Arabidopsis thaliana: one gene and its partners. The protein of the gene in region 1 interacts with the protein of each later gene in a pairwise test. Each region holds a gene or a part of one and is shown in the gene's direction. Other genes may lie near its edges.

Evidence for each region.
Region 2: the proteins of FEI1 (region 1) and SFP1 interact in a protein complementation assay, tested with the Arabidopsis thaliana proteins (one large-scale study listed by BioGRID).
Region 3: the proteins of FEI1 (region 1) and UBC32 interact in a protein complementation assay, tested with the Arabidopsis thaliana proteins (one large-scale study listed by BioGRID).
Region 4: the proteins of FEI1 (region 1) and HVA22J interact in a protein complementation assay, tested with the Arabidopsis thaliana proteins (one large-scale study listed by BioGRID).

The regions. Positions count from the first base shown.
Region 1 is NC_003070.9:11,246,617-11,254,947, forward strand, and holds FEI1 (Leucine-rich repeat protein kinase family protein), read left to right. Parts: upstream 1-3,001; 5' UTR 3,002-3,743; coding exon 3,744-3,843; intron 3,844-3,933; coding exon 3,934-4,069; intron 4,070-4,144; coding exon 4,145-4,216; intron 4,217-4,293; coding exon 4,294-4,365; intron 4,366-4,464; coding exon 4,465-4,536; intron 4,537-4,830; coding exon 4,831-4,902; intron 4,903-4,985; coding exon 4,986-5,057; intron 5,058-5,284; coding exon 5,285-5,373; intron 5,374-5,466; coding exon 5,467-5,625; intron 5,626-5,731; coding exon 5,732-6,064; intron 6,065-6,139; coding exon 6,140-6,388; intron 6,389-6,464; coding exon 6,465-6,598; intron 6,599-6,681; coding exon 6,682-6,900; 3' UTR 6,901-7,299; downstream 7,300-8,331. Other genes in the region: AT1G31410 (putrescine-binding periplasmic protein-like protein), read right to left, coding at 478-921, 1,038-1,199, 1,335-1,517, 1,606-1,740, 1,904-2,152, 2,248-2,387, 2,468-2,729; AT1G31430 (Pentatricopeptide repeat (PPR-like) superfamily protein), read right to left, coding at 7,409-8,331.
Region 2 is NC_003076.8:9,645,597-9,655,327, forward strand, and holds SFP1 (Major facilitator superfamily protein), read left to right. Parts: upstream 1-2,911; 5' UTR 2,912-3,361; coding exon 3,362-3,505; intron 3,506-3,647; coding exon 3,648-3,710; intron 3,711-4,854; coding exon 4,855-4,944; intron 4,945-5,076; coding exon 5,077-5,136; intron 5,137-5,276; coding exon 5,277-5,342; intron 5,343-5,427; coding exon 5,428-5,493; intron 5,494-5,661; coding exon 5,662-5,737; intron 5,738-5,884; coding exon 5,885-5,949; intron 5,950-6,048; coding exon 6,049-6,141; intron 6,142-6,282; coding exon 6,283-6,363; intron 6,364-6,455; coding exon 6,456-6,540; intron 6,541-6,907; coding exon 6,908-6,951; intron 6,952-7,326; coding exon 7,327-7,389; intron 7,390-7,473; coding exon 7,474-7,533; intron 7,534-7,623; coding exon 7,624-7,677; intron 7,678-7,785; coding exon 7,786-7,845; intron 7,846-7,946; coding exon 7,947-8,061; intron 8,062-8,440; coding exon 8,441-8,580; 3' UTR 8,581-8,830; downstream 8,831-9,731. UniProt on the Arabidopsis thaliana protein: Sugar transporter.
Region 3 is NC_003074.8:5,793,938-5,800,971, forward strand, and holds UBC32 (ubiquitin-conjugating enzyme 32), read left to right. Parts: upstream 1-2,992; 5' UTR 2,993-3,358; coding exon 3,359-3,469; intron 3,470-3,957; coding exon 3,958-4,089; intron 4,090-4,187; coding exon 4,188-4,272; intron 4,273-4,411; coding exon 4,412-4,575; intron 4,576-5,092; coding exon 5,093-5,530; 3' UTR 5,531-5,810; downstream 5,811-7,034. Other genes in the region: AT3G16970 (Plant self-incompatibility protein S1 family), read right to left, coding at 1-153; NRPB9A (RNA polymerases M/15 Kd subunit), read left to right, coding at 589-617, 872-947, 1,387-1,545, 1,682-1,762; AT3G16990 (heme oxygenase-like, multi-helical), read right to left, coding at 2,000-2,315, 2,411-2,628, 2,715-2,846; REM22 (AP2/B3-like transcriptional factor family protein), read left to right, coding at 6,523-6,627. UniProt on the Arabidopsis thaliana protein: Accepts the ubiquitin from the E1 complex and catalyzes its covalent attachment to other proteins.
Region 4 is NC_003071.7:15,121,439-15,127,863, reverse strand, and holds HVA22J (HVA22-like protein J), read left to right. Parts: upstream 1-2,275; 5' UTR 2,276-2,401; intron 2,402-2,489; 5' UTR 2,490-2,609; intron 2,610-2,699; 5' UTR 2,700-2,723; coding exon 2,724-2,755; intron 2,756-2,844; coding exon 2,845-2,943; intron 2,944-3,369; coding exon 3,370-3,426; intron 3,427-3,533; coding exon 3,534-3,597; intron 3,598-3,700; coding exon 3,701-3,835; intron 3,836-3,944; coding exon 3,945-4,028; intron 4,029-4,134; coding exon 4,135-4,440; 3' UTR 4,441-4,744; downstream 4,745-6,425. Other genes in the region: AT2G36030 (uncharacterized protein), read left to right, coding at 93-305; AT2G36026 (Ovate family protein), read right to left, coding at 48-599; E2F3 (E2F transcription factor 3), read right to left, coding at 4,971-5,068, 5,164-5,233, 5,360-5,603, 5,777-5,853, 5,943-6,008, 6,129-6,177, 6,416-6,425.

The DNA.
Region 1 (8,331 bases):
AACAGAATCGAGAAAACGCAGAGTCACTCACTTTAAAAGCATATAATACGTGTTTGAATGTGACTCGCGTTGATTACGAAAACTTGAGGAATGTGAAAACGCTTCGGCTCTTCATAGCTCATTGTTGGGCTGATAGTCCCAAGAAAAAGAACATTTAACTTTCCCTTGTTCATTTTCAAAACAAAGCATTCATTAACACCGTTTTACATGATATTTACCTCTTAGATGGCCAATAAATTAAATAATGTTAGGTTATATTAGGCGTTTTGTGTAGTTTAATTTAATTTATACACTTGTTTTGGCATCTATAGTGTTTGAACTAACGACTAACTAGTAACATGAGCAAAGGCGATCAGCCTCTGGCTCTTCATGACATGATACTCTGTTATAAGGAGATAGAAAACCCCTTATGTTAACCAACATGAAGTTGCTCTATGTAATCATACAAATGATTCCATTTCCACTTTTGTCCGTCTCTCAAATGTTCTTATTCATCTCGGAGTCAAGCTTTGCCCTAAATCCTCGAACCTTAATTGAAACAATGTCCTTTAGTTTCTCCACAAGGCCAGGTCTTTGGCTTTGCTTCCTTACAGTTTCAATCAGAAGCCGATATTCCGATAGCGTAGCCTCTGGTAAAGGTTCCAAGAACTCACACTTAGACAAGATCTCCGGAGGAGGAACACCTGTGACCAGGTTTGTGTCCAGTTTTGTTCTGTCTTTCTTTGTTTTTTCGGGTTCTGTAACCAGAGGACCATCAAGAGCTGAAGGAGATGCACCAGGAATTACTTCCCGTGTGAATGGTAACGATCTTGCAGGTTGCAAGCAGAATTCTATCCACTGGTTGATTAATGGAGATGGGCCTCGGACTCGTCCTCCTCTTTGTTCTGCTTCTTTACCAGAGTCAGAAACAGCCGGGATCGCCTTGAAAAACAATTATGCTTCACGGTTTAGTGTCCAGATATGTTATATCGTCTTTAGAACAAGAAGCATTCAAGATATCAGATGAAGGGTTAAGTGATTTTACGACGGTAACTTACCCATAGATCAGCCCATAAGGTGGCACCGGATTTGGGAACAATCACTGTAACATTAGACATACGTTTTGCGACAGGGATAACATCGCTGCTCCAACCAACAGTGACCCAGACATCTCCGACATTGAAAGCTTTTAAATAGTTGTTACTATCAAATAGTCTAATCTATAAGCAAAAGGGGAAACAAGATCAGCCACCATTGTCATTTTTTCTCAATAACTATAGAGGTTGAGTGAAACACGTCAGCCTAAACTCATCTGTTCTCTTTAGGGTATGGAGAGATAGTAAAGAGGTAATAACCTGTTTCATGAGTGATGCCAGATTTTTCTCCACTGCTAATCTTCCGCCAGGAACTTGTGAATCCAGGTCTGTCGTATTGTATGATGCTCTCATGTATTTGAGAACAGCACCAACAACCTCTCTAGGAGAATTCACCATTGCGATCCTTCCTGCAAGCTCGGGTCGCCACAGATCAGCCCAGTCCTAAATTCAGCAAAATGTTCAGTGATATTCACTTCTTTTAAATAGGAAAACACTAAGACAGCATTTAGCAACAACAAAGTATACCAACCTCTATCGGTGCCAATTTATAATTCTGAAATTTGCTCTTTTTGTATGCTATAACCATGGTGCCCCAGCGGTATGGCACAGCCCACGTTTCACCGTCAGGAGCTTTTTCTCCCGCATAGTTCCTGCGGAGATAAATCTGAGACTTTCTAAGTCATGAAATGAACCCTATGAACATTCCCAAGCTAGCAGAGTACGAAAACAAAACACATGAAAGATTATGCCTATTAAAATCTCTCAAGCTAGTGTTCTTTCAAAAAGACTCATATTCATATTGTTAAACCACTGATTTAAATTCTCACCTTCCATTTATCACTCAAGCCTTTATACCAGTCTTGATCTTCTATCCCTTTCATTGGCTCAATTAGCTTTTCCTTAATAGCAAAACTAAGCCAAGAATCACCAATGCTGATCATATCAGCTGCTGCAGTTGAAGCAGCCCCCTTTTTTCCATTCTTACTTGGTTTCGATAGATCGAAAAAGATCTCTTCAAGATTTCCTCGAAACTGAGTCTTTAACCTCACTCTCTTCCCTTGTGAGCTCATAAACTCCTAAATTCCATTCACAGAATCCAACAACATACATTTTCAACTATAAGCTTAAGATTCAAAATAGAAATGGAAACACAGACAAGTGAAACTAAAACCTTGATCCATGATGGTGGCACTGAGCCACGCAAGGCAACGAGTTTTAGCGGGACAGTAAGAGAATACACTTTAGACTTGTACGCTTCGAAATCAGCTTCCAGTTTTTCTTCATCTTCAACTTCATTTAGATTCTCTTCACCTGCAAAAACATTCCATTGGAACACAAAATTCAAATCCATCGAAATCCCAAGAGTGACGAAAATGTTCAATTTCACGCACCAGCTACAGTTTCTGTGTTGATTTCATTCTCTGTAACGACAATCGGCGGTGGTAGTATTCGAGCGGAGGCCGGAGAACAGACGCGGAGGCTACTTAAACCGATGAACAACACGGTCGAGGCAGAGAGACCAACGATCCTCTCATGAAACCGTTCGTCTCGAGAAACTCGTGCAATGGTGATTCCCCTTCCTCCGTCGCGTCGGTTTCCTCCGCAGTAGAAGCTCGCCGGCGGTTTCACGGAAATAATCGCCGCCGTAGCCATCGATATAACGCGATGGTGAAACAACGGACAACAATGGCTTCTAATCTCAAACCGGTTCAATCAAACCGCTGGGCTTATACCGTAATGGGCCTTAAAAATGGGCCCAATGATTTCGACCATTGTAGAGATTAGGCTTAGCTAAGGTCTAGCTGGCAATAATAATTGGGTTTTATGAAGAAAGCGTCGGTTGACACGTGTGGGAGGTCAAGATCGGCACGTGCGAGACCCACTTCGTTTCTTCTCATTGGTCGTATGCTTTGGAGAAGAAAGCATCTTCTTCTTCTTCACACACTCTCTCTCTCTCACTCTAGTTTTCTCTCTCTTCACTCTTACCATAAATCACACAAACAAAATAAAAAGTCGATTCCTTTTTTGTTTTTTTTATCTTCTCCTTAAGTTATATTTTTTTTTTTTTGCTTTACAGCTCAAATTAGTCATCTTCTTCTTCCTCTGTCTCAATTCTTCCTCCTCTCGGATCCATTTTTAGAGGTTCTTATAATTCTTACTAATTCTGTTTGCTTTTAAAGCTATAACCTTTGATATTGTTGGAAAGAGTGGGGTTTTGGGTCTTTTGCTGAATCGTTTTTTGGATTTGTTATATTGTTCGAATCTTCAGTTGTTATTGTGTTATAGGATTGGATGGTATCTGGGAATTTCGTAATCTATGTTAAGCTAGAGCTGTTTTTGAGCTCTTTTGTTGATGATGATTTTGAGATTGTTGGCCGAATTTAGCTCTCGTTTTCTGATTTTAGCAATTGGAAAGTGTGTATTGGTTCTTGTGAGGCAATTTCACTGTTTTGAGTACTCAAAATGTAGATGAGAGCATGCATAAGTTGTGTGGAGACTGAGCTTAATGTGTAGTGTAATTGACAATTAGTTTTGTGGGCTTTCCTTTGTTTTTCAGGAGTCTAGTTTCTTACTTGAACATAGACATGGAATCAACTAATAACTGACAACCAAGAGGCTGTTCTTTTCAAATGATTGGTAGTAGTTATATTATGCTTGGACAGTGCCATGATGGGCATCTGTGAGATGAAAAGCTGCTGCTCATGGCTTCTTTTGATCTCGTTGCTTTGCTCACTATCTAATGAAAGTCAAGCGATTAGTCCTGACGGTACGTCGATATGAATCAACTATTACTATTCATAGCGTCCTGGACCTTTTATTGAGCTTTAATCCTTTATTGCTTGTTTCCATTCTTCAGGCGAGGCGCTTCTGAGCTTCAGAAATGCAGTTACTAGATCAGATAGTTTCATCCATCAGTGGAGACCGGAAGATCCAGATCCATGTAACTGGAACGGAGTGACATGTGATGCAAAAACGAAAAGAGTTATAACCTTGTAAGTTTTCAAACTTGTCAAGGTTTACTGGTTTTCTCTTCAGTATTTGTGCTCCCTAATACTCTTGTTTCGCAGGAATCTTACTTATCACAAAATAATGGGACCTTTACCTCCTGATATTGGAAAGTTGGACCATTTAAGGCTTTTGTATGTGCTCTCTAGCCTTATTCATTTTTATTGCTTAAGAGAGTACTTCGATTCTGATCATCTGTGTGTCATTGCAGAATGCTTCACAACAATGCTTTATATGGAGCAATACCTACAGCATTGGGAAATTGCACAGCATTGGAGGAAATGTAAGCGCTTTTCCAGGATTTTATACTGATTCCACATGGTTTCTGAGAGACCAATTCCAGTTGCTTATGGTCATCAAAATTGTCCAACTGGTTTTGCAGTCACTTGCAGAGTAACTACTTCACTGGACCAATCCCAGCTGAAATGGGAGACCTGCCTGGCCTTCAAAAGCTGTATGTTTTTTTCTCTTCCCTATACGTACTTGCAAGTGCATCCTTCTTTTAGTGTATGCAATATCTATTTGTTTTTTGTTTTCATTTACTTCTATCACCATCTAGGATCATGGTAACATATGGTTGACTGCATAATGTCTTCTCATGCACATTATATTCAGAACTAGTTATACCTAAACTCTTGGTGAGCAATTTGAAAAGCATGATAATGTATTGTTTACTTCAGATTCACATATTGATTGTTCTCTTTTCTCTACTAAAACTGACTTTTGACTTTTTTATTTTATTTTCAAGGGACATGTCAAGCAACACTCTCAGTGGACCTATCCCTGCTTCGCTTGGGCAGTTAAAAAAGCTTAGTAACTTGTGAGCACCTTAATCTCTAACTTCCGCTGTAATTTATCATATTGCAGTCCTGTGAATCTTTCTGTTTCGTTTGTCTTATGAAGCAATGTCTCGAACAACTTCCTGGTGGGGCAAATACCTTCAGACGGAGTGCTCTCTGGATTTTCTAAGAACTCGTAAGACAATAAACACCCTTTTCTTCTTGTAGGGATAGAAAAATAAAGCCTCTAAAGTTACATTTTTTTTTTTTTTTTGTCAATCCTCTAAAGTTACATTTATACAGCTGATCTTTCATATTTCGCTTATATTCGAGATGATTTTTTGAACCACATAACTATTTAGCTAGATTGTATCAGTGCGACTGAAATTATATGATTCTCAAACTGATGCGTTACTACTACAGCTTCATTGGAAATCTTAACTTGTGTGGAAAGCATGTTGATGTCGTGTGCCAAGATGATAGTGGAAACCCTTCATCACATTCTCAATCAGGTAAAAGCAATTATGAATTTCTTGTGATATACAGGTTTTGTTGTGGCTCTCTATCAGTAAAGTTATATTTATTTGGTGTCTTATACTTTATAGGTCAAAATCAAAAGAAAAACTCTGGTAAGCTGCTGATTAGCGCATCAGCAACTGTAGGTGCGCTACTCCTAGTTGCACTCATGTGTTTCTGGGGATGCTTTCTATATAAAAAGCTCGGTAAAGTCGAGATTAAAAGCCTTGCAAAGGATGTTGGTGGAGGTGAGCCGTATTGATTTTTTTTGTACAGATATTATCTCGTTAAATATTGGGAAATTTCATATTTTTCTCTATCTCCTAAATCTTCATTGTGACTTTTTCAATTCAGGTGCGTCTATTGTGATGTTCCACGGAGATTTACCTTACTCTTCCAAAGATATCATTAAGAAGCTGGAAATGTTGAATGAAGAGCACATAATTGGATGTGGAGGCTTTGGAACGGTGTATAAGCTGGCCATGGATGATGGCAAAGTCTTTGCATTGAAGAGAATTCTAAAGTTAAACGAAGGGTTTGATCGGTTTTTTGAGCGGGAGCTTGAGATTCTTGGGAGCATCAAACACCGATACCTCGTGAATCTACGTGGATATTGCAATTCACCAACATCAAAGCTACTGTTATATGATTACTTGCCCGGTGGTAGCCTTGATGAAGCACTTCATGGTATGATCAATCTGCTCTTTATGGCTCTCTTCCATATTATGAATGATTCACTGAGAAGTTTGGTTCTTGAATTAGTAGAGAGAGGCGAGCAATTGGACTGGGATTCACGCGTAAATATCATCATAGGAGCTGCGAAAGGGTTATCATATTTGCATCATGATTGTTCTCCTCGGATTATACATCGTGATATAAAGTCGAGCAACATTTTGCTTGATGGCAATCTCGAGGCACGGGTATCGGATTTTGGTCTAGCCAAGTTGTTGGAAGACGAAGAATCTCATATCACAACCATTGTTGCAGGCACATTTGGGTACCTAGCTCCAGGTACATATGCCTTTTAAAAGTCTTTACTTACATAAAGATTTGATCTTTCAAATGCTGAGACTTTTCCATTTGACAGAATATATGCAAAGTGGTAGAGCAACTGAGAAAACCGATGTATACAGTTTTGGGGTTTTGGTTCTTGAAGTCTTGAGTGGGAAAAGACCAACCGATGCTTCCTTCATCGAGAAAGGCCTTAACGTTGTTGGTTGGGTATGCAAATAAGATTCTTTTTCAATACTGATATTTTGTTACGACAAACTTGACTAAAAAAGCTTTTGACTCATGATTTACAGCTAAAGTTCTTAATCAGCGAAAAACGGCCAAGGGATATTGTTGATCCAAACTGTGAAGGAATGCAGATGGAGAGCCTTGACGCTCTACTATCAATAGCAACACAGTGTGTGTCTCCGAGTCCAGAAGAGCGTCCAACGATGCATCGGGTTGTCCAGTTACTTGAATCAGAGGTCATGACTCCTTGTCCCAGCGAATTTTATGATTCCAGCTCTGATTAATTGCATAAACCCACCAGTCGAAACCTCGAGAAAAAAAGTAAACCGAGTCCGGTTTCCCGGGGAAAGCCTTCAAATGCTATTCGATTTCCGTTTTTGCTCCCCGAGAAAACCTGCAAATACCAACGAAGAGCCATAATTTTCCAGTTAATGGAACAGAGTCTTTGTGTTGTGTTGCCATTTACTTTGCCCCTCCAGTTTTACCAGATTCGAGCCATTCATTTTCAGCCCTTTCTCTTTTTGTTCTGATTTTTGGTATAAAAACTTTTATTTGAACATGAAATTGAATTGTATAGTTGTGACCTTTGTAGAAAAACTACTCTCTGCCTTTATGTTCTTTTGAAATAATCCATGTTCCTTCATCTTCTTCTTCTTCAGTCTCAATCAATCCTGATTCAGTTACAGAGAAGCTGATATCGATTCAAAACCAACATCGATTCAAAACCGGTTCATTAGCAGGGAAACAAATGTTAATGATAAGGGAAGTAGTTAGAGAATGTACAAGAAAGTTTCAGCTATCAATTTCTTTATGTTCCAAATCCAACATCAAATTTGTCGTTTGATGCAGCATTGAGTTGATCTCATCCATTTTTGGGTGTGATAATAGATCATCTCCAACAATAAACTCATGACCAACCCCATCAATCTCGATGGAGCTGCAACCAGGAAACTTTCTGATTCCCAAATCTTTCATTTTCCTTCTCACATTAGTTACATCTTCCCATCTATTAGCAGATGCATATACACTTGCAAGCAGAGTATGAGCACTGGAATCACTTACTTCCACTTTCTCAAGCTTTTCCGCTACCCGTTCTGCTATTTTTACATTCCCATAGTTCCTAGCAGCACTAAGTAAAGAACAGTATACAGGAACTAGAGTTTCATCGCTTTCACCACGCATCTTATCTATCAATTCCTCTGCTTCATCTAACAAACCAGCTCTGCATAGTAGGTCAATCAGACAGCTGCAGTGCTCTGATTTAGGCTGGACGTTATGTCTTTCGGTCATCGAATGGAAAATCTTACGGCCTTCTGCTACAAATCCACCATGATTGCAAGCTGTTAAAACCGCGACAAATGTTATAGCGTCTAGTCTAACACCAACATTTTCCATTTCGTAATACAAGTCCAGCGCTCTTCCTGACATCCCGTTCATCGCAAGACCGTAGATAAGTGATGTCCACGAAGCTGTGTCTCTCTCCTTTATTTCATAGAAAACCTCTAGAGCTGTCTCAATGCATCCACATTTTGCATACATGTCTACAAGAGCAGTACCAACTACTTTATCTACTGTAACCCTGTTCTCATTTATGTACCCATGAATCCATTTTCCTTGCTCTAAAGCTCCCGTTTGCGCGCAACCTGTCAAGAGAGAGACTAGCACGAAATTATCCGGCCTAATTCCCGCAGTTTGCATGCACCTGAACAGTTCCA
Region 2 (9,731 bases), on another chromosome or scaffold:
TGATAATTAACTATTTTTCTTGAAAATTACAATTCACCAATACTAACCAATAAATATTACAAAGAAAACTTAAAAAATCAATCTTTTAGAAACAATTTTTTTTCTCTATATAATCAATCATTTAATAACAGAGGGAATATCGTTTTCCTTTCTGCTAAAATATCTTAGCTTTCTAATAGGTAATTTAGCGTACCGATTCATTTGTATTAACATGAATCTAATCTTTTATTTTCTGTTTTTACTACTAGTTAAATCGTTAGTCAACAAAACTAATAATATCCAAATATTCGCCATAAAATTATCCTTTTAACAAATTTAGACACAATATTTTAATTGATTTAGAAATCCAAAATGGCAATCATATTATTTTTAAATTGATATCTTCTTAATTTTTTAAAACATGAGACAAGTAGAACTCTAGTCTGGTGAAAAGCTCACAAGTAAAACATGAAAGGAGTGTCTTAATTCAACTTTGTTTTGTCGGCAGTACACATCACAATGTCATATAGATAGGTTGTAGACGGACTATTTTCTGAATTGAACTGGGTCGTGTTTGTAGACTATTTTTTTTTTTTTTTAATTCTATCGACTGATCCGGTGAGTTTCAATAAAAGCACACTGAAATAGTTCAGAGAGAACGTTTTTTCGAAAGACCACCACATTATATGTCCTAAATTTTAAATGTTTTCTAACTAATAACAGGGTTAATCAGACTACATGTATTTATGATTATTAGATAAATCAATTGAGCCAAAACTTAACTAATAGATTTTCCAAACAAATTTTCCAAACAAATGTGACAGATTATTTATTTTACAAAAAAATTGTTTTACATTAAAACTTTAAATAATTTCTACACCGAAGAATTGAATTTGCAGCACAACATAAGAAATCATGAATGATGGTATGGCATGCATATGTTAATCCTAACAAAATTCATGATTCCCTATCCACGCAAGCTAGCTTGCTTGTCCAAATTAGATTTGTTCAACTGCATAAACAAATTGTCAATTTCCAAAGAGGCACCAAAAGTCAAACCATAAATAGGTAGTTTGGACAATTATTGGGGATATAATGGATTAGATCGTAGATTCAGGAGAATTTAAGGCAAGTAAGTTGGTTCTCTATCTAATGTTCCAAGGGTCTTATCTATGTACTTCGTTTCGATGATTAATTGATGTAGTTAGTAGTTTCAAATTCCAAACGACTATTTGTATGTACAATTACATATGGATTAATTGTCAGATAACATGTTGAATTCTAACATGTTTCTGTCTATCCGATTTTAGATTAAAGTTGTTTATACAAAATTTTAGACAACACTTAAATTAGTACTATCGTTAGTTATATAGTTCCATTAATCATTTCTCCTTCTGTATGGTTTATTTGGACAGATATGTCATTAAGCGTTTAAAAATATTTGTAGATTTGATAATTTGTCAAAAATAGCATTTATTGATATTATAGTTGATCCGTACGCGTTACGAATTCTTTAGTTGACCTTTCTTTTTTTATAATCTCCTAATATTTAAAATTCAGCAGCAGACTGATGAATAAAATTAAATACTTGGTTCCATTTCTAGATGGTAACAGGTACAAATATAGATCCTCACGTAAGAATAATAACAACGGAGGACAAAAACGTTAAATTATGATTAATTAAACATTTAATTAAAAGTATTAGCAAACTCAATCAAAGAATGACTAAAAGGTTCTAATAACTTGTGAGGTATTTAAACAAGTTAATGTAAAAAAAGAAACAAAAAGGTTGAAACGTACGGTTTTCATCCAATGATTATGAATGACTATAAATGATTGTTTTTTCTACATCAAATATGGAGTTCCATCGTCATCCAATTTTCTTTTGGTTACGAGTGAAAACTTCTTAAAACACCCGAATATAGGATCTGATTGATAACCAAAAGTTGTACAAGTTTTTTAGCTGTTAACTTTATCGAAATAGTGCAAAACTGTTAAAAGAGCTGTATAAAAAAACTGTACAAAAAATCTAAGAAGAAAACTTTTTGTAACGTTTTTGATAAAGTTTTTGTGATTGATAACTATCAATACTGTACAAAGCTGTATTGTGTTACCATTCAAACTTATAATGTTATAGTCTTGGAGAGATATTTTTTTTACTCAAAGATATGAATTTAAGTTAAAATATTCCATAATCCAAACCAGCAATATATACACATTAATATAATTTAAATTGCATGGAATTCAAAATAATACTTATCGTGAATCCATCTAGATACGTTGAGATAAGGGACCAATCAACAAGAGAAGACGTCACTTTTACAAGTTGAGAATAATCTTTCAGAGAGAAAAAAAGAGTAACTGTCGATTTTTGTTGATCCAAGGTAACGTATATGTCCTGACTCAGATTATTGCTTCCAATTATATGTGAAAAGAGCTTTCTCCACATTGACATATAACTAGGATCATTCGCTATAGACGATTAATCGTTGTTTATAATTTGTTATAAAAAAAACTTTGGTATTTTAAAGAATATGTCAATATTTTTTTCATACTACAGTATTTTTAATTCGTCAAACTATTTAAGAATACGCTCATGACAAATGATCATATAATAATAATTTAAATAGTACTTGTATTTATTTTTTCAAGAAGAAAACTTAGTTGAATGAAATTTGACTTAAAATGATATAAAGGGTTTGAATGGTAACCATTTTAATAACAATACAGTTTTGTACCGTTTTGACAGTTACCAATCACAATTTTTTTATCAAAAACGTTACAAAAAGTGTTTTACTCTCAGCTTTTTTTATACAGTTCCTTTTAACAGCTTTGTACTATTCCGATAAAGCTAACAAATAAAAATTTTGTACAGCTTTTGGTTACCAATAAAACCCAAAGTCTTACAAAAAAGGTCTTACGCGTCCACGTTAGCTTTCCAATCCAACCCTTAATTAGAAGTCTTCACCATTTGCTGGTTAAAGGATATTTTTTCAAAGTGTTTAGCATTTTGTATACGTCAAACTATTTTAGAATCCAGATGATGAATGATCATATACTAATACTTAGCTGTATTTTTATAATTTAAAACAACAAAACTTGGTTTAATGAAATTTGACTTGATCTTGTTTAAAAAAACGTCTCACGTCCACACGTTAGCTTTTCCAATCCAAAACCCCTAAAGAGTAGAAAACCAAAATAACCATTTTTAATTCCCAGCCTCTTTTTATACGTAGTCTAAATTGACAAACACATCATTCGCTCTCTTTCTCTTCTTTCTCTAGCTCTCTTGGTTTTTTGCTAAAAACAGAGCATTTTCTCTCTAGCTCTCACTGTTTCTTTACCATAAGTTTCGTCATATTAGTACATGCAAGTGTAAGGGATGGTGATGGAGGAAGGAAGAAGCATAGAAGAAGGGCTTTTGCAGCTCAAGAACAAAAACGACGATTCAGAGTGTCGTATTACTGCTTGTGTTATCCTTAGCACTTTTGTCGCCGTTTGTGGCTCCTTCTCTTTTGGTGTTGCTGTGAGTTTTCTACTTTACCTTACTTTGATTTTTTCTTCTTCTATAGAAGAACAAATGAAAACAACAAAATTGTATGAAAAGAAAACATACTTCATAATTACGTTATACCTATTTTCTTATAGTTTTTGTTGTTTTTATACAGACTGGTTACACTTCAGGTGCTGAGACAGGAGTTATGAAGGACTTGGATCTTTCTATCGCGCAAGTATGTCTCTCTTTTACGGTTTTTCTTCTATTTCTAAAAACATGTATTGAAAATTAACCAAGTAGCAAATTTTATCAAAAAAAAAAGACTAAGGCCATGAATGTTTGTAGTTTTTAAAATGGTTTTTGGATTTTGGTTTTTAGTTTTTGATTTTCTTGGTTTTTGTTTTTGGTGTAGATTTTAGTTTCTTAAAAACTTGAATGGTAATTTGTTTAGATTTTGGTTTTTATGTTAATGGATTATATTTTATTTTACAAAAAAAATCTAAAAATAAAATAAAAAATGTGATCGATGGTTTTTTTATAGAGAAACTCTCAAAACATAGATTTTGATTTTCTTTGAAAAGTTGTTAAAACACTCAAAAACTAGATTCCCTATTTTTTTAAGAAAACTTGTTTTTTCAAAATTTTGAATGGTTACAAAATAGATTTTAGAAAAAACTAAAACCAAAAACTAGTTTAAAAACCACATCCATTCAAAGTTAATTCTTTTATACTATCATCCTTAAACAAACAAACAAAGTTTTGTGTATAATTAAGCAACTGAGAGCGAGTGACATATTGACATATGCAAAAAATAGCTAGGTTAATTATCGTTCAATTTTTATCAAAATACAAGCTTCACATCATTTTTAAATCCGTAAATATTTGTTTCTTTATTCATTCAAATTGAAACAAACAACCATCAATTCTAAAGAAGAAACATATAGATTGTCGTTATCCCATTGAGTTGATTATACTTCTTTGTTGGTGTGGTTCACCTCCTTTTTTACCCATTTTTTAAACTCTTATCATAACCCTACCAAAACTATATATATATATTATCCTGATATATATGGAATTGTCGAAATCATCCAAAAAAAAACATTATTTATCATAATAATAACCCTACCAAAACTATATATATGCACATATATCCTGATATATTGAGCGGTTGTCAAAATCATCTTATAAAAACATTATCTAGCTATCAACGTTTCCATCGTTCCAGAACCATTCTCCGGCCAATTCTCTCATCTACAATAATAGAAATTTGAAATATTGAAATATTATATATATATATATATATATATATATATTAAAAATAATAATAATAATACTATATATATGAAAACTATATTTGTTATAAATCATTTTTTTCTCAGTTTTCAGCTTTTGGCTCATTCGCCACTTTAGGAGCTGCAATTGGTGCACTGTTCTGCGGTAATCTGGCAATGGTCATTGGCAGAAGAGGGGTAATTAATTTAACCATTTCACCTTTCATATTCGTAATTTTACCATTCTTCTATTTTTTTGGTTCTTTCGTGACTATAATTTTCGTATATATGATGCTTATAATAATATTTTTGCTATTTATGATATAATAGACAATGTGGGTCTCCGATTTCCTATGCATCACTGGTTGGCTCTCCATCGCTTTTGCTAAGGTACTACTAGTTATTTTCTATTCATAAACATGTTTTTTTTTTCATTCAAACATTATTTCTTAGAAAATAAACAAACCAATTAATTTATGGTTATTATAAACCCAATAATTAAATTTATGTTATGTTTTGGAATACAATAGGAAGTAGTGTTGCTGAACTTCGGAAGAATCATTTCAGGGATAGGTTTCGGCTTGACGAGCTATGTGGTAATTAACTTATTATTATTATTATTTAATATCATCTTTGTAAGTTTGTTTTCTGATCTGTAATTTTTGCTTATTTACCAAGCAGGTACCTGTCTACATAGCAGAAATTACGCCAAAACATGTTCGTGGTACATTTACGTTTTCAAACCAGGTAATACTTTAGGTTTTTAGAATATTTATAAGAATGAGTGCTGACAAAAAAAAAAAATAGCACAAACTAGTCTAAGACAAACCAACCAAAATCCAAATTAAAACTTTTCAAAATTTCTCGTGAGTATATTGATCCTTGTTTCATTCTTGTGTAATTATTGATTATTAGCTTCTTCAAAACGCTGGACTCGCCATGATTTATTTCTGTGGGAATTTCATCACTTGGAGGACGTTGGCTTTATTAGGTAAGACTATAAATTCCATATTCATCGTGAAAAAATTGTTTTGAGACGTAAGAATATGTTAAATGTATAGTAGAAAAAAACTGGAAATCTTCAGCTGTTATATTATAGCAAATCAACTGATAAAAATGTAATACGTTTTTGGTTTAGGTGCTTTACCATGCTTCATTCAAGTAATCGGTTTATTCTTCGTGCCAGAGTCTCCAAGATGGCTGGTTGGTCATTTAATTTTTCTTTAGTGTTTTACGTAATTTATTAATTATTATCAACCATGAGAAGAAAAAAATTTAAACCAAACTATTTTCATTTTGAAGGCCAAAGTTGGCTCCGATAAAGAACTAGAAAATTCACTGTTTCGGCTTAGAGGAAGAGATGCTGATATTTCACGTGAAGCCTCAGAAATTCAAGTGAGTTTTACTATATACTATTATCAGTTATAATTTATATAATTTTCAATAAATATACATTCCCTTTTTCTTTGAAATTATATTTTCATTCCTTCACAAATAAAAAAATGTAAAGTCTGAATAATTCTGTGTTGTTTTCAGGTAATGACCAAAATGGTGGAAAATGATTCAAAGTCGAGTTTTTCAGATTTGTTCCAGAGAAAGTATAGATACACCCTCGTGGTACGTACAAGTACATCAAACTAATTTCTAGAGTATCAAATTTTCATATTTAATTTATCTGCACAAGCATTCATTTTTAATTAATATCTCAGGTAGGAATCGGGCTAATGTTGATACAACAATTCTCAGGAAGTGCTGCTGTAATCTCTTATGCAAGTACCATTTTTAGAAAAGCTGGTAAGCATTCATTTATTTTTATTAATGTTTAATTTTATATTAAAATGTCAGAAATAATAATAACTATATATATATTATATGACAATCTGTTCAAATCTGCAAGTGAAGATTTGCATAGAAGTTTCAGTTTCTCTGAGAATGTTTTTTTTTCTAACAAAACATATTTTATTCTACCAATCAATAGATTATGGGCAAAGGTCCTGAACTCCTAAGATTTCTCAAAATAAAATTAAATTGTGTATTTATTTTGTAAAATGATGCCATTAGCTCATTCTAAATACTTTAAGAGAAAGGGTTTTAGTAAATATTTACCATGAGTTCCTCTTTCCATTTTTTTTTGCTCAATAATTGTTCTGGATGGAAACAGGTTTTTCGGTGGCCATTGGAACGACGATGCTAGGTATCTTCGTGGTAAGTATATATAAATGTTTTTCTCAAATTTTGTTTGACTATATGGATGCAAAATTTAAGAAATGAAACTACGTCTCTGAAATCTGTTGTTATTGAGCAACTAAACTTGTGTGATGTTATTTAACCTGGTATAGGTCGCGTTTCTAGGAGATATAGAATTTTTGGGTTTCAACTTCCAAATATTCAAAAAAAAACAAAACTTGTGTGATGTTGGCGTTTTAATCGACATTTTATCACAGTTGAAAAAACGACATTTTTTATTTTGTTAAAATTTCGTACTTTAATGAACTCTTTGAACTAAGAATTTTCATGTACTAGTTTTTTTTCTTTTAACTCGTGAAAGCATTGAATGGTATAATATCTGGCTATTCGCAGATTCCAAAAGCCATGATTGGCCTCATTCTTGTCGATAAATGGGGCAGACGTCCTCTCCTGATGGTGAGCATGTCTTTAAATAATTTCTGGCTGTTCGCAGATTCAAATCTATTAGTCTATATTGATTTGATTACTATTTTGACATAGACTTCAGCGTTTGGGATGAGCATGACTTGCATGCTACTTGGGGTCGCCTTCACATTACAGGTTATTTTTTTTGTAAGATAATTACTATTTTTATTTATTCTGTTTTTAAACCAATAACTTATTTGTTTAACAATGTTTTTGCATGAGCAGAAAATGCAATTGCTTTCGGAACTAACTCCAATATTATCGTTTATATGCGTAATGGTAAGACATTATATCTCCTTGTACACAATCTTTTTGATGAAAATATTTACGTTGATGTTTCTTTTACATATAAAATATAGTTAAAATTGATATTTTTTAAATCGGCAGATGTATATTGCAACTTATGCAATAGGCTTGGGAGGTCTACCTTGGGTAATTATGTCGGAGGTACATAAATTTACTTCACTGTTAATTTTATTTCTATGCAGGAAGTAAGTAATATGTCTTGAAAAATAAAGTAATATATGTATGATTTTTGGTGTGTGCAGATATTTCCAATAAATATAAAAGTAACTGCAGGAAGTATAGTTACGTTAGTCTCATTTTCAAGTAGTTCAATCGTCACTTACGCTTTCAACTTTCTGTTCGAATGGAGCACTCAAGGTATTATGTTTTTCTTTTTCTTAATATCCATTTTATACAATTTTGGTTATATAAATTATCTTGTGATCAACAAAAAAAGTTATAACTTATCCTTTTTTTTTGTATATCGCATAGAAATAATCAATGATTAAGTCTAGAAAACTTATATAGTTTTCAAAGTCTGTGTTTATAGCATTTCAATGAAACCTCATATACATTTTATAACACAACTATTTGTTTATTTTATTTTAAAAGACTAATTAGTTAAATTTTTGGTTGAGTGAATATGTTATATAGTTTGTATTTATTTTATTTTCTCCTAATGTCTATATATATATATATATATATTATAATTGCATTTAATTTATAATTTTCTTATATAGTTTAATTAATGTAATAGGAACGTTTTTCATATTCGCGGGTATCGGTGGAGCAGCGTTGCTTTTTATATGGTTGCTCGTTCCAGAAACGAAAGGATTATCACTCGAAGAAATACAAGTTTCACTTATTCATCAGCCCGATGAAAGAAATCAAACTTAATTTGAATTATTTTATTTTATTATAAAAATGATCAAATTCAGTTTATGGTGTTATATTTGTTTATTTACAAACAAGGATTTTTTTTTTTCATTATGTAATTACTACTTTATTTTTCTGGGTAATTAGCCCCATTTTTATGATGTATATTTACGAGATGTAAAACTTGGCCTACGTACATGTGTATTTTATCTCTAAAATTGCAAATGTAATATTTTTCGGACATATATTAAAGAAGAGATTGATTTCTAGTATTGGGTAACTAGGGTAATTAATGATGAACAATAAACATGCGATTAATTAATCTAAACTGTTAAGTCCTAATATTGCTGTTTAATATGAAGTAGCTAGTATATTTAGAAAACTATATATTTCGAAAACGTGATATCTCATAAATTTGATTTAACATTGGATAACATTTGTGGACCACCATGCATCATGCGTGCTGGTAAGTTGATTCGACAAATTTCTGACGTTTGTAAGTTGATGGCTAATATTAATTAGATTATGCATTGGAACCACATAGATATTTCAAAAACAAACATATTTAGGTTCGATTCATCACTAGTAATATATTGTTTTGACCAAGGACTTTACTCATGCCCTGAAGCGACAATCTGTCTATGGTGTTGCATGTTTTTGAAACGAAAATCTGTCTCACAAACCCTGTGGTTAATATCTCCTCTGGCTGAAGAATATGAAACCTTAGATTGGAAAACCATCTATGAATTTTTGTCTTTGAAGGTTTTATCACTACCGCATCTATTATCTCTATCCGTGAATATACTGAGCTTATCCCGGAGTGTCAATTTAGACACATCTCTGCCGGACGTTATCTTCATCGACTATCCACTGAAGCATCTTGACACCACTTCAATCTAGCGGCCAAAACTAGGAGTTGTGATTTCCCTGTTTTTGCTTAAGCTTTTTCGAACCATAGCTAACTGTTCCCCGACACACATCCAGCTAGCTTCCGATCTAGAATTTCATTCTTACCTGACTTCAAGGGTCCTCGCCATCCAAGCTTCCCCGTCATGGAAAGAACCTTGGCTCTGGTTCCATTTGTCGTTTGTGCCGGCGAATAGTGAGACTAAGTACCTTTAGTAATCGTCACAAAATCTTTTGATAGTGACTAGTTCTAAAATACCTGAATT
Region 3 (7,034 bases), on another chromosome or scaffold:
ATCATTTTTTGATTTACAATGGTATCTCAATGGCAGATGACCCCCAAGATCATTGTATATCACCACTGTTGTTCTTGGGTTGTCGAAACCGGATGTTGGAGTTGGAGGGATGCTATCCTTTTGGCCTCGAGATATTGTTACACTAACACACATAGTCACTAAGAAAGCCACAAGTTCTACTAGAGATCCCATTTTTTTTTTTTTGTTGCAATATGAAATTATTGTATATGGATGAATGACTCTTTCACTCGATATATACTGTGTTACCAGTTTATTACATTTCCGTAACATGTTTTTTGTTCTTCATATGTGGTCAAATAAAAACTTAAATGTCATGGTTGATGTATATGTAGTCAACTATGGTGTTAAGCCCAATAAGCTTTATAAAAGCCCAATAACATTTTCAAAAGCCCGAGAAAACCCGTGAAACTACGTCCGATCCGAAGATCGATCACGCGACTCTGTTATTTAGAACGACGATCGCATTATTTTTCTCCTAATAAACAAAACGAGCCCGCCAGATTTCTCTGAGACAGTGATTCAGTTTTGGTTTTGGAACCTAATTCTCTCTCAAGAGATTCAGCTAAGATGAGTACTATGAAATTTTGCCGCGAATGGTAAGAGCTCTCTTATGCTAATTCTGTTCCTAGTTTCTGGAATTGCACCTCTCTGCTCGTCTAGGTTTTTTCAAAGTTTCGAAATTTGCATGAATTTTTTAGTTTTTGTTGTTTACTTTTGATGTATTTCTTCCGTGGTTGAACCATCTATGGTTGATAAGGTGACAATTCGCTAAAAGTGAGTACCTTTTTTCGAATTTTGTTTTTGGGTCCTTTCTTAATTGCATTGTTGTTTCTGTTTGATTTTGGTTCAGTAATAACATTCTGTATCCTAAGGAGGACAAAGAACAGAAGATCCTCCTCTATGCTTGCCGTAATTGTGATCACCAGGTATAGCTTTTGGTCATTTTGTACCTTTTTTTTGTGTGGAAAAAGGGTTTTTAGTGTTCAATGTAGTGCACAAAATTGCGAGTGGGACTTAGTTTCATTGCAATTAAGAGACTTTAATGAAACTGTTTCCTGCTTTTATCTCTCTTTTAATGCTCCTAGTTTCCTTAGTTTTACCAACCTCTCTATTTACTAACTCCTTCAATTAAGGCTTAGCAAGTTCTTATGGTTTATCTTTCTAGTGTTGTGTTTATGAGATCTATATGAATACTTGAAGGGCCTCTTTTAGCTTATTGATTTACACAAACTGAGTAGTTATTTGCAATTTTTTAAGCTGCATTATCAATCTTGTTGTTACAAATTGACAGATTAGATTAGATCATGTAAATGGGTTTGTTGTCCTCATCTCAGAATTTATACTTTTTGTGGCACTGACTTGCAGGAGGTAGCTGATAACAGCTGTGTGTACAGAAACGAGGTTCATCACTCTGTAAGTGAGCGAACTCAGATCTTAACAGACGTGGCTTCTGACCCTACTCTTCCCCGAACCAAGGCTGTGCGTTGCTCTAAGTGTCAGCATAGGGAGGCCGTTTTCTTCCAGGTATAACTCTCTTAAGCTCCATTATTTATTTAACTACTTGGTTATGCTGTATCTTCACTGTTTGCTTCCCCAAAACATTATGCTCAAATTCTGTACACCGCTTGAGGATTTAATGTAGCTATCATTGAATGTGCAGGCTACGGCTAGAGGTGAAGAAGGAATGACACTGTTCTTTGTCTGTTGCAACCCGAATTGTGGTCATCGCTGGAGAGAATAAAGAGCTTTTCGGTTTCAATTGGTGAGTTCTTAAGAGTTTTAGGAGTTGATGTAGTTACCAGTAAGTGTAATATGTGGAATGACGGGAACAACCTTCTGCCCCAGTCAGAGACAAATCCGTATTCATGTAATCTGTTATGAAACCATAATCTCAACTTGTGTTTCACCAAACATAAAGATTGGAACTTGTTTCTCTTTGGCATTTAGAGGAAATGAGAAATTCAAACCCAAACATTAGCTACTGTCCTCCACGGCTCATCTCCCAGAAGGCAACCTCTAGTTCAAGAACTCGTACAAGTACATCTTCAGCTTCACCGAGCACCTCACCGGAGGCATTCTCCAGACAACGTTCGGCAATGTTCTTGACAGACGAACAATACTGTTTAAACCCGTCATTCCCCCAACGATGACAAGCACCGGTAAGCTCCACCGGAGTTTTGTTCCCGTCTTCTAAACAATGAGCAAAGCTCTCTTGATACACTGCTTCAATTGCCCAGAAAGCTGTCATAATCACCGGATACTTCACCTCACTGCTCATCAGATCTTCCAAAAACCTGAATTAACCAGAAACTCCGGTTTATTTGCTGGTTCCTAATTTCATTTTCGAGTGTGAGAAATCTATTCAATCAGCATATATGAAATCAATAACCTGCCATATTCTTGATTAGCTCTTTGAGGCACAACGGTCGAGAAATCAACATCCCATTTCGATCCTTCTCTTTTAAACCATTCTATTTCATCATTCAACGATGCTATACCACCAAGCACCACTTCCATATCGGAACTCTCGCCGGAATCTTTGCAAGCTCTGATCAACACACTCGCTACAAACGGCACAAACCTCCTCACGAACAGATAATCTTGCCCCTACAAGGAAACAACGTCGTTTAAAAGTCATCGAGTGAGATTTCATATTTTGCCTTGTTTTCATCAGTAATTACTAATTACAGTACCAGCCAAGTTCTGAAGGACGAGAGATCAACGGATCCGTCACGGATCGAGACGACAAAAGCATGACGTGTAGCCGCCGTATAGATCGAACGGTGCTTATCAATCCATGTGTCGATCACCCCTCTCTTCTCCATTGAAATTGCTTCTTCTTCCTTTCTCTCAAGACTCAAGACTCAAGACTCTTCTTCTTCACCGATTCACTGTCAACGCTTTGATTTTCTGTTGTCTGTGACGTGCACGTTTCATTGGGCTTTAAATTAATGGGCCAAGGCCTATTAAAGTCTCGCCACGATAGCTTAATGATTCTCCCAAATCGACGGCTGTAAAGAGGCGCTTAAATTTCTCAGATTACGTGACAGTTTCTGAACCGTTGAGATGTTTGGATGACTAAAGTTTATTAATTACGTGGCACTTACTCAGAAGCTCTCTCACGTCACGTATCCGTCGTTAAAGAGTGTGACGTGGAAAATGTTTTGGAATTAATTTTGTGTGTTTGTATTATATCACCGTACTAATTAGCTCATCTCCCGAAGCCATGTGGTAATTCTAATTTTGTGTATTTATTATTTTCTGTTAAGACGAATCGGACAGAGAGAACTCCGGCGGCGGATTGCACTTCCGGCAAGATCTCGTGGGGATAAATAAGATGGCGGATGAGAGGTATAATCGGAAGAATCCGGCGGTGAAGAGGATTTTGCAGGAGGTTAAGGAGATGCAAGCTAATCCGTCTGATGATTTTATGTCTCTTCCTCTTGAGGTAACATCTCCGATTCTAGCTTTTTAGATCGGGAATTTTGATTCGAATCTATATTTGAAATTTCCTTTTTTGAGAAAATCCCCTTGTCTTATGTTGTTGTGTTATGTTGTGTTGTGTTGTAATTGTGTATCTGTTCTGAGTGATGGTGTTTGATTTTAGGCGATCATGATTAGGGAGGATCGATATATCTTCTTGTATACACTGAATTTACTAAGTCTCTCTACTTTCAACACTCGTGCAACAGATAAAGTTTGGATTTTTGTGTTTTTATTGGAATAACTGAGTCAAGTGGGGAAGATTACGAACGATTCCTTGATCCACTCAGCTGTCATACTAGTTCTTCGTTTCTAATTTTTTTAACTGTGAAGACTTTTTCCAACATGTCATGGTCCAAATAGATTGCGCGCGATGTTATAGCTGTTTTTTACAAGTTCTTGTGTGATACCAAATAGTTTACATGATTACTCTTATCTATCTTTTAACTTCAGGAGAATATCTTTGAGTGGCAATTCGCCATCCGAGGTCCTGGTGATACTGAATTCGAGGGCGGGATTTATCATGGGAGAATTCAGTTGCCTGCAGATTATCCATTCAAACCTCCTTCATTCATGTTATTGACCGTAAGGATCTTACTCTTATTTCATATATAAAAACACACAGATGTTGCAAGTTCCATAAGAGAGTATGTATCTAAAGAATCTCTGTACTTTTGTTTCAGCCTAACGGGCGCTTTGAAACTAACACCAAGATTTGCTTGAGCATTTCAAACTACCACCCTGAGCATTGGCAACCTTCATGGAGTGGTAAAGTCATGGATCTCAAGAGACCTTATCTCTTGACTTTTATGTTGTTTCCTAAAAGATTACTCAGACACTTGTAATTTACATGAGGTTGAACTATATCAGCTCTTTTGTATTATGATTGAGCTTTGTTTCTTTTCAGTTCGGACTGCTTTGGTGGCTCTCATTGCATTTATGCCCACAAGTCCCAATGGAGCACTGGGCTCAGTAGATTATCCAAAGGATGAGAGACGTACACTAGCCATTAAATCACGTGAGACACCACCTAAGTATGGCTCTCCTGAACGGCAAAAAATTATTGATGAGGTATAGTTCCCCACTAGAATACCCTTGGGTGTTGAACCACTATGCATAATATCCTGATGAAAATATATGAATTTAGCTAGATGCTTGCTGAACCTGTAGAGTATGTGCCATACCATTGCATTGCATCATTATAAACCATAGGACTAGCTGGTGGTCAAAACGGGATCGCAATATATTATATATTAGGCTTGCATATCTCTAGCGGTTATGATTTAATGTTTGCTCTAAGAGTATCTGCTTTGTTTTAACTGCAATCACAGCTGTTATTATTCTCTCCATACAGTAAAATTTGCTGCTCAAGTCCTAACACACCATTTTACTGATTATTGTCGTTTTTAAAAAGTAGTCAGTTGCACAAATATAAAAAAAAAGACAATAGTAGTGTTAACAATCTCCTTTTGGTCTAAACTCTCGTCCCTTTCTTCATGATTTTTGTTATGACTTTAGTTTCATACCTCTGATTCATCTTCAATTTTGGAAAAAACTTTTAGTAACCATGACCTTTTAACAAGCGCAGATTCATCAGTACATCCTTAGCAAAGCAACCGTGGTTCCAAAACCTCTTCCTCTGGAATGTAGCCAAGCACCTTCCATCGTATCAGAAGCTCACTCCCAAGTTGAGCCACAGGAAGCGATAACTGTAGTAGAAGAGCGGTCCATCGCTACAACAGACACCATAGTTGATGATCAAATCATAGAAGAGACAGCTGAAGCAGTCAATACAGCAGCTAGTGTGGTTCCCGCTGCAGCACCTTTACCAGCGGTTGAAGTTGTGGTCAAAGCTTCTGTAAGTGGTGAGCAAAGGATGGCCAGAAGAGCGGCTCAGAAGCCAGTCGATGACAGACTCTTCACGTGGGCGGCGGTTGGGCTCACAATCGCTATCATGGTTCTTCTTCTGAAGAAGTTCATAAAATCAAATGGTTACAGTACTGGGTTTATGGATGATCAGTCTTGAACTCTGATGAAAGTCAATGCTGCGTTTAAGAAATGGGGTTGTGTTGTTTAATATTTTATAAATATAATTAAAGTGCATAATGGCGTAAATAATTTCTGTGTGACATTGTCTTGCAACTTAGTTGATAGATTGGATTATAGCTTGTGACCAAGTTAACAATATGTATTTTGGAATTGAACACTGACGACCGTTTTATCAATACATTGATGCTTTGTTAATAGAATTGTTGATTACCTCCACTATGTTCATAACTATTTCCCGTTTTGAGTACATGATGTCTAAAATGTATCCAAATTTTTAAATCAATAGATTTCATGGTCAAGTTTAACAATTTGATCATATATGTATGTATATGAACACACATGTAGTGAGTCGTGTGGTTTATATATTTGTGTGTATTTTCATTATAAATTACAGAAACATATTAGTTTTGGGGTATCTTCTGCACACATTAGTTTGGTGTGATCTCATCTTGTACCTTATTTTTTTACTTTTCAGTTTAGAAAAGGTTATCAACTTTGACCTTTGACTGCCATATAACGTTAAAAAGAGAAAAAGTTACCGAAGGTTCAAATTAATAAATGAAGTTGATCGTAATGAAAATAATATTTTTTTAAAAAAGAAGGGATGGTGGCAAAAGAAGCTAAGTTAAAAGTCTATCAGTCCTTATTGCTCAGGGATCCTCAGGTACTAAAACTAGCAAACACTGCTTTTGCGTGTCTTTGAAGTCAGATTTTTAACAGCAATTGTTTCATCTGCCTATTACTATAAAATAAAAAAACACTTTGATTTATGGGAACGTGACTGCTTTTTCCACTATTATAACCTTGACTCGTTTTTAATGAAAAGAAGCATACATATTTGGATACTCACTTTTGCCCATTTATAACACCAGAGAGAGAGATATAGGGATAGGGCGAGAGAGAGTTATACTAAAGAAACTTGAAGGAGAGGAGGTTCTGAGTGAGATAGAAGAAGGAAGAGAGAGAGAGATGGGTAAGAGTAGTAACATAGTTTTTGATCGGATTAAAGAAGAACGGCAGATGTTGAGCTTTTTCAAGATTTTTCAGAGGGCAGATCTATCCTCTGACTGCATGGTAACGTTGTTCTTGATATCTTTGTTTGAAAAGTGGGAATCTTTTTCTTCTTTTTGTTGAATGGGTTTCAAGTCTACGGCTTATTCATCTTTTGGTTCTCTTTGTTTTAAAGATTGCAACTGTTTTTCCTCTGAATCTTTTACGTTCTCTGTCTTTGAAACGTTGAATCTGTTGTTTCCCTGGTGTTTTAAGGGTCTCAGCTTCTCGAGGGTTGAATCTTTAGGTTCTGTGTGTTTTAAAAGTTAGATCTTGTAAAAAAAATAAAAAAAGTTAGATCTTGTTAGCTTTTGGCTGTCTTTGTTTAATGAAAGGTTGAATCTGTTAAATCTCTGAATATTTACGTTCTCTGACTTTGAAACGTTGAATCTGTTGTTTCTCTGCTCTCAAGACTCTTAACAGTTTAATCT
Region 4 (6,425 bases), on another chromosome or scaffold:
TGTCAATACATTATTGGTGACGTGGCATAATTCGTAGTTAAAAAAGGTTACTTCGAGCGGTGGTAGTGGTTACGGTGTGACGCACGTGAGCCATGACGGTGGACGAGTGGAGACTCTTGGACGTCTCCACGGCGTTTGGCAGCGGAGAAAACTCCGTCCCAGATTTCGGAGAAAGCGCGGATGATGATGCCGTGGTGGTATGGCTCGTTAAGGGAGAGGAAGCAGTGGAGAAGCTCTCTGAGATCGTTTTTGGAGTAAATCTCGTTCTCGAGAATCATCTGAAGCATGGACTGTCGGAAATCTAGGTAAGGATCGTCTGAGTCTTTCTCGACGGCGACAGCGGCGGCGGAGGGTGTTGCCGAGGAGGAAGAGGTGTCAGAGAACCAGTGGGAGGTGGAGGGAACGGCGGAGGAAGAGGAGGCCGTGGTGGGGGTGGAGGAGTGGCAGTGGCCGTAATTAGAGGAGTAGAGGCGGGGCTTTTTGGGGGAAGGGTTGAAAAAAGAAGACAAGCTTGGGAACTTACAGTTGCCACAGCCGATGTCTACGACAGAGACTGCCTTAAGGACCATCTTCTTCTTCTTGCTTTTGCCTGTCGTCATTGCTTTGCTCTTTCTTTGTCTCTCTGTCTCTTACTCCAAGATGAAATAGATTTTAGAGAGAGAGTGTGTGAGGGAGAGTGAGTCTACTTGGATTGGTATTAAAGGGTGCATGTGGTGACTGAGGTGGATTAATGAGAAGTAAACTCTTAGCAACAATATTTAATTTGATGTTCAATGACAGTTTATAATTTCTTTTAAATTTTTGTGAGCTTTTAAAAATATGTTAGTAAATGTCTACATTCATGAGCATTAATGTGACATATACTTACTCCACTGATCTATGAAAATTATGAGATGTGAATATAGGATTATTATTTAAGTTGACTATAATGAACTATAATGGTATTTCATATATAATTAAGCCTTCCCATTACGATTTAGGTTCTAGTTGGACGATCTATATTTTTCTTTTTGTCAAATCTAACCTTTTTTTTCTTCAAAAAGTCAGATGATCTTTAGTATGTCATTTGCATTCAATAGTTATACTATACGGTCGTTAATTCATTTCATACACAATTATTTTAAACTACGTTTTAAATTTTAATTCGAATATATTATTTTTTTAGGATTTACACATGGTGTTAACAAATATTACAAGAGAAGTTGTAGAAGTACTCAATAAGAGTTTGTTTTACATGGATTTGTGTTGGGCCTTCATGAGCTTTGTACAGCGCCTTTACAACACTCAAATAAATTGTCACTCAAGGGATATAAACCCAAAGGCCGTAGCTCCTCCAACACAAATCCAGACCACTCTTTGTTTCCAGTATTACTATTATTCCTCTAAGTACATTAGAAAGGTGTATAAACTTTGTTTTACAACATATAATAGAAAAATAAACATTACTGTTAAACAATACAAAACTTTACAGAAAACGTACAGTATGTTTAATTATTGATAGATTAATATTTAGAGGCCGATGAAAGGTGGAAGTTTTTTTATGGGAACCTGGTAGACATAGAATGTTGTAATAATATTGTCCATCAATCTGATTTTCGATTTGAGATTACCTAGTGTAAAATATAAGTAACATAAGTAACAACTCACTTATGATCACTGCACTATTAAGTACTTCTTCCTCAATTCCTTATTACTCCAAATTCTACAAAAAAAAGTTTGTTGCAAAAAGATACAAATTTTAATTTTTCTATACAAATTTTAAGTGTGGAAATTGTTAATCACAAAAAATAATACATTTAGGATCAATTTTTTTCATGTGTGAAAAACTTAGAATTTGGATTAATAAGGAACGGAATTATTTTGAGTTTATGTTTGTTTGGAAAAAAAAAAGACTAGGTTTGCTTCAAATTATCCATTGAATAAAGGATGTTTAGATGAGATTTTAATGGATTTCAAAAGATATTCTAGTAGTTTATAGAATTTCGTATTTAGTATTTTTTTTGAAGGACAGCAGAAGAATATATATTTATTAGTGTAAAATCAGTCAAACTTAATTAATTTGATTCTTCAAGGACTTTTTTTGTAAATTCATATGAAGCGTCGAACAATGTTAAATAACGAGGATAATGAGACAACGGTCAAACGGTCAAACGGTAAACCCGTTCCTCTTACCCCCAAATTCAAGTAGCTTTTGTGGCAAGAAACCGTTTACTTTTTGTAATTTTTTTGTTTGTTTATTGACGTTTATATATTTCTAAAAAAACTAAACCCTGATGTATTCCAATTTTAGAACTTACGCGTCTTCATAATCTTCCTCTTTTTTTCTTTGTCTTTGATATTCAAAGTTTTTGTTTATTTTTTCTTTGCTTAACCCGGAGAGACACCCTCTCCATAAATTTAGGTTTGTTTATAACAACTTATACATATTTTTTTCTCTTCTAATAATAAAACTCTGTAACCATTAAACATGGTTTTGATCTCATTTGCAGTTTTGATCCCTCTGGGTTCCTTGAAGAAAAAAACACCAATTCCATTCATATTCTTCTTCATACGTTCAATAATTCTTACGAGGACGAGATCTTCCTAACGTCTTTGATCTTCTTCATTAGGTTCATTTGCATTTGTTAAACGCTTAAAAATGGATCTATTCGTCTGATATATATATGATTGTTGAATCGGTTTTGTTATGATTGTAACAGGAGATAAGTCTAAACTGGTCGAAGATGTTGGGAGATTTCATCATCAGACTCCTTGTGTATGTCCTAACCATATCTCTTTTTTTCTTTTGATTAATTAATCATGTATATTGATGTATATATATAATTGAAATGGTGAGAATGGCAGATTGATATTAGGGTACACATACCCAGCATTCGAATGCTTTAAAACGGTGGAGAAGAACAAAGTTGATATCGAGGAACTCAGATTTTGGTGCCAATACTGGTATTGAATTATTTATATATGATCCCCTTTTTTCTATCCTCGATACTTTTAAACATTCATATATAATGTGTAGTGTATGTAGTAGATTTGTAGTGATAGGCAAATCGATTTTAGTTCGATCATAGTGATATACTTTTCTCTGTTATGGGTTTTTGTTTGATTTTAAAAGAGAAAAAAAATCAAAATTCCGTTAAGTTGATGTCTTCTGCTAGAAAAACCATTTATGAATACACCTCATCTTTTGTACAAGTCTTTGGTTTCGAACGTTGATTATATACCTAGTCTGGGGATTACTGGGACAATTGTATTAGGTTTATTTTAAAGATATCTCAATATATGTGATGCACGTAATTCTAATATGATAGTTTATTGTCAATATGTACTCGAAAATATTAATTTGTTAAACATTTGTATTTGAATAATTAGGATACTTTTGGCGCTAATTTCATCATTCGAGAGGGTTGGCGATTTTTTTATCTCATGGTAAGTAAGTTTTATTATTAGTTAATTCATGCCTTAATCCATCTCTGTCTTAAAAAATATTAACAATCATCAAATAATTAATTGATATATGCAATTATTATTTGCAGGTTACCGTTATACGGAGAGATGAAAGTAGTCTTCTTCGTATATCTCTGGTACCCTAAAACAAAGGTAATATAATTTTTCCTTTTAAAAAGTGATTAGTTGGATCATAATTAATTAGTGGTTTATGGTGATGTACAAATAATAATAACGAAATAAATAATGAATGAAGGGAACGAGACATGTGTATGAAACATTGTTGAAGCCATACATGGCTCAACACGAGACAGAGATTGACAGAAAGATCATGGAGTTGCGAGCTCGAGCTTGGGACTTTTTCATCTTTTACTTCAACAACTTCGCCCAGGTCCTTTTTTAAATTATCTTTCTATTACTTATATATACAAATTGTTCTTTTTAAAGGTTTGACTAAATTATTATAAGATTAACAACATACATATAATGTTGATGCACAGGCCGGTCAATCCACCTTGATCCAGGGTTTTCAGTACGTACTCGCCCAATCGGTCCGGTTCTCTGCCGCTGCAGCTAACCAACCGGTACTTTTCTATCGCTTTTGATTTTCGTTTTATGTACTAATGCAAACACAATCTTGTGTTTATTACCTCCCTTTTGCACTTTTGAATTTTTGTGTTTGTGCTAAAGCCAACGGAGAGGAACGTGAACATGAACGCGCAGTCACCGGTGGAGATGGACAATGATCCTCCATCACCGCGCGCTCCAAGACCGCTGAACAAATCACTATCTGCGTTGCGATCGCTAGAGAAGCAAACAAGCAGAGGGAGGAAGTGGCCGCCACCAACACCACCACCAACACCAGGCCGAGACTCCGCCGGAACATTTAACGGTGATGATGGAGTCAACATTCCTGATACAATTCCGGGATCACCCCTCACTGATGCTCGAGCTAAGCTGCGACGTTCTAACTCCAGAACTCAGCCAGCGGCATAGTAACGCAAACGTACATATACGTGACTCGACAAAGAAACCCTTTTCGTTTGTTTAAAGATATATAGGGAAAGAAAAGTGAATGAAAGTTTTGAATTGAAACAAAACAGATTTTTTTTTTTTTTTCATGTTTTCTGTAAATTGAAGCAGTAAGTATTAATACAGCGAGAATATTTGTGTTTGTTTTCGTTTAAACTTCCCGCTTTAATCCGGATATTGATTTGAGTTTGGATTTCTTCATATAGCTGATTATAAAGATGCATTTGAGTGGTCAAAAATATTATAATCAAATAGTGTACCAATGCAGCCGATGAAGTACATTCTCTGTTAAACTTACATTAGTTTCTCGGTGCTCCTCTACAACATCACTCTAGGCGATAAATGAATCATAATCTAATGGTACATTGTATGGAACGCACCTGCCATTGGTTCATACACGTTCTGTAGTTGCTCCCTCCTTGTATATGATTTTAGGGAGTGTTGTGAGGTAACACATTTGGGATCAGAAGTTGAGAAGTGTGCTTGGTATTCGATCATCTCGGGGTTGAGTCAACAGCTGTTGGTGCTATTTCGCCCATTCCTGGTGGTGGAGTACTCACGTCGGCTATTCCATAATCCCAATCGATACCAGCTTTTGCTAGAGTTAAGGATTGCGTATTTATATCTTATGCAGATAGATATAGTTAACTATAAGAGAGAAACAAATTGCATATATGCAAAGGATACAGTCAGTTTTCCAAATATCCGTCATGCTAATCTCAGCATTTGAGAGAAGCCAGTAGTCCGACTCATCATTCTGCAAAATACAAGACCAATATCAAACAACAATTATGAGGGTAGATTTTGAGTCAGGTTAATTAGTTTCTCTGCACAACTTCCTATTTCTATGTTCATTATAAAAATAAGCAGGAAGATGGCTTACTTCAACATCAGAGGGAGTAATCTTAAGCATTCCTCCTACTTGCTCTTGCAAATAATTAAGATCAGAGGTATCGCCGGGTTGAGGATGAGGATGATCATGAGACACAATAGCAGTTTCTGGGTTGTCAACAGTTAAGGCTTCGATGTCATGGTGTCCTGTAGATCCTGAGCTAGAAGCAATAGGCAAGCATGCTGGTGGTGCTGCACCACTCCCATTTGTGTCTTCGAATTTCCCTTCAAATTCGCTGAACATGAAGACAAAGTAAAAGCATGTAAACGGGACAATGAATGTTCCAAATCATAGAAATCTTTGTTTTGATACGTTCAATTATATGTATACCATCATCAGTAGAGTATATGAAGTCACGGAAAATGCCAATAACAATGTTTCTATTATTTGAAGCCAACGCATAAATACCTGACGAGGTATACGTCAATAGGTCCCATTGTACTTCTAAGAATGATCCTGTATCTCCTTTGTGGGTGGTCAGCCGCCTGTCAAGTAAAGAAGAAACATTATAATAACGTTTTGGAATCTAACAAAGAATGGCAGATGTCATCCAAGGTCGCTGAAAAAGACTAACTTCATCTGGATCAGGCACTTCCAAAGTTGTGCCATGAGGAGCTTTGACGGCTATCAGAGTCTGGTTCTGCAGAAACAGCAAAGAGAGAGTTAAGATATAAGTGAACAAGAAAGTCTTGGGATCGACATACATACAATCAATTGATCAAATTCCTAGGATTAAACATATGAAATAGGAAAGACAGACCTGGAAACCTGGTAAACTCTTGATATCCTCTTCAGTTACAAAAAGCCATCTGGACAATGTGAACGGATTGGTTAAGTGTCCATCATATAAATAGCACCATCTCATAGCCAGAACAAACTAGCCATACGAAAAGATAGATAGACAGAGATTTATACTTCTGATTCTTTTCATTTTCGCTCAGGTCTCTTAATCTTTCCTCTGTTTGTCTGAATAAAAGTTGTTAAAGCGTCAGCATTGGTTAAATAGATTAATCACAATAACCCAAAACTCTTTAAATGAATGCTTACCTGATTTGGT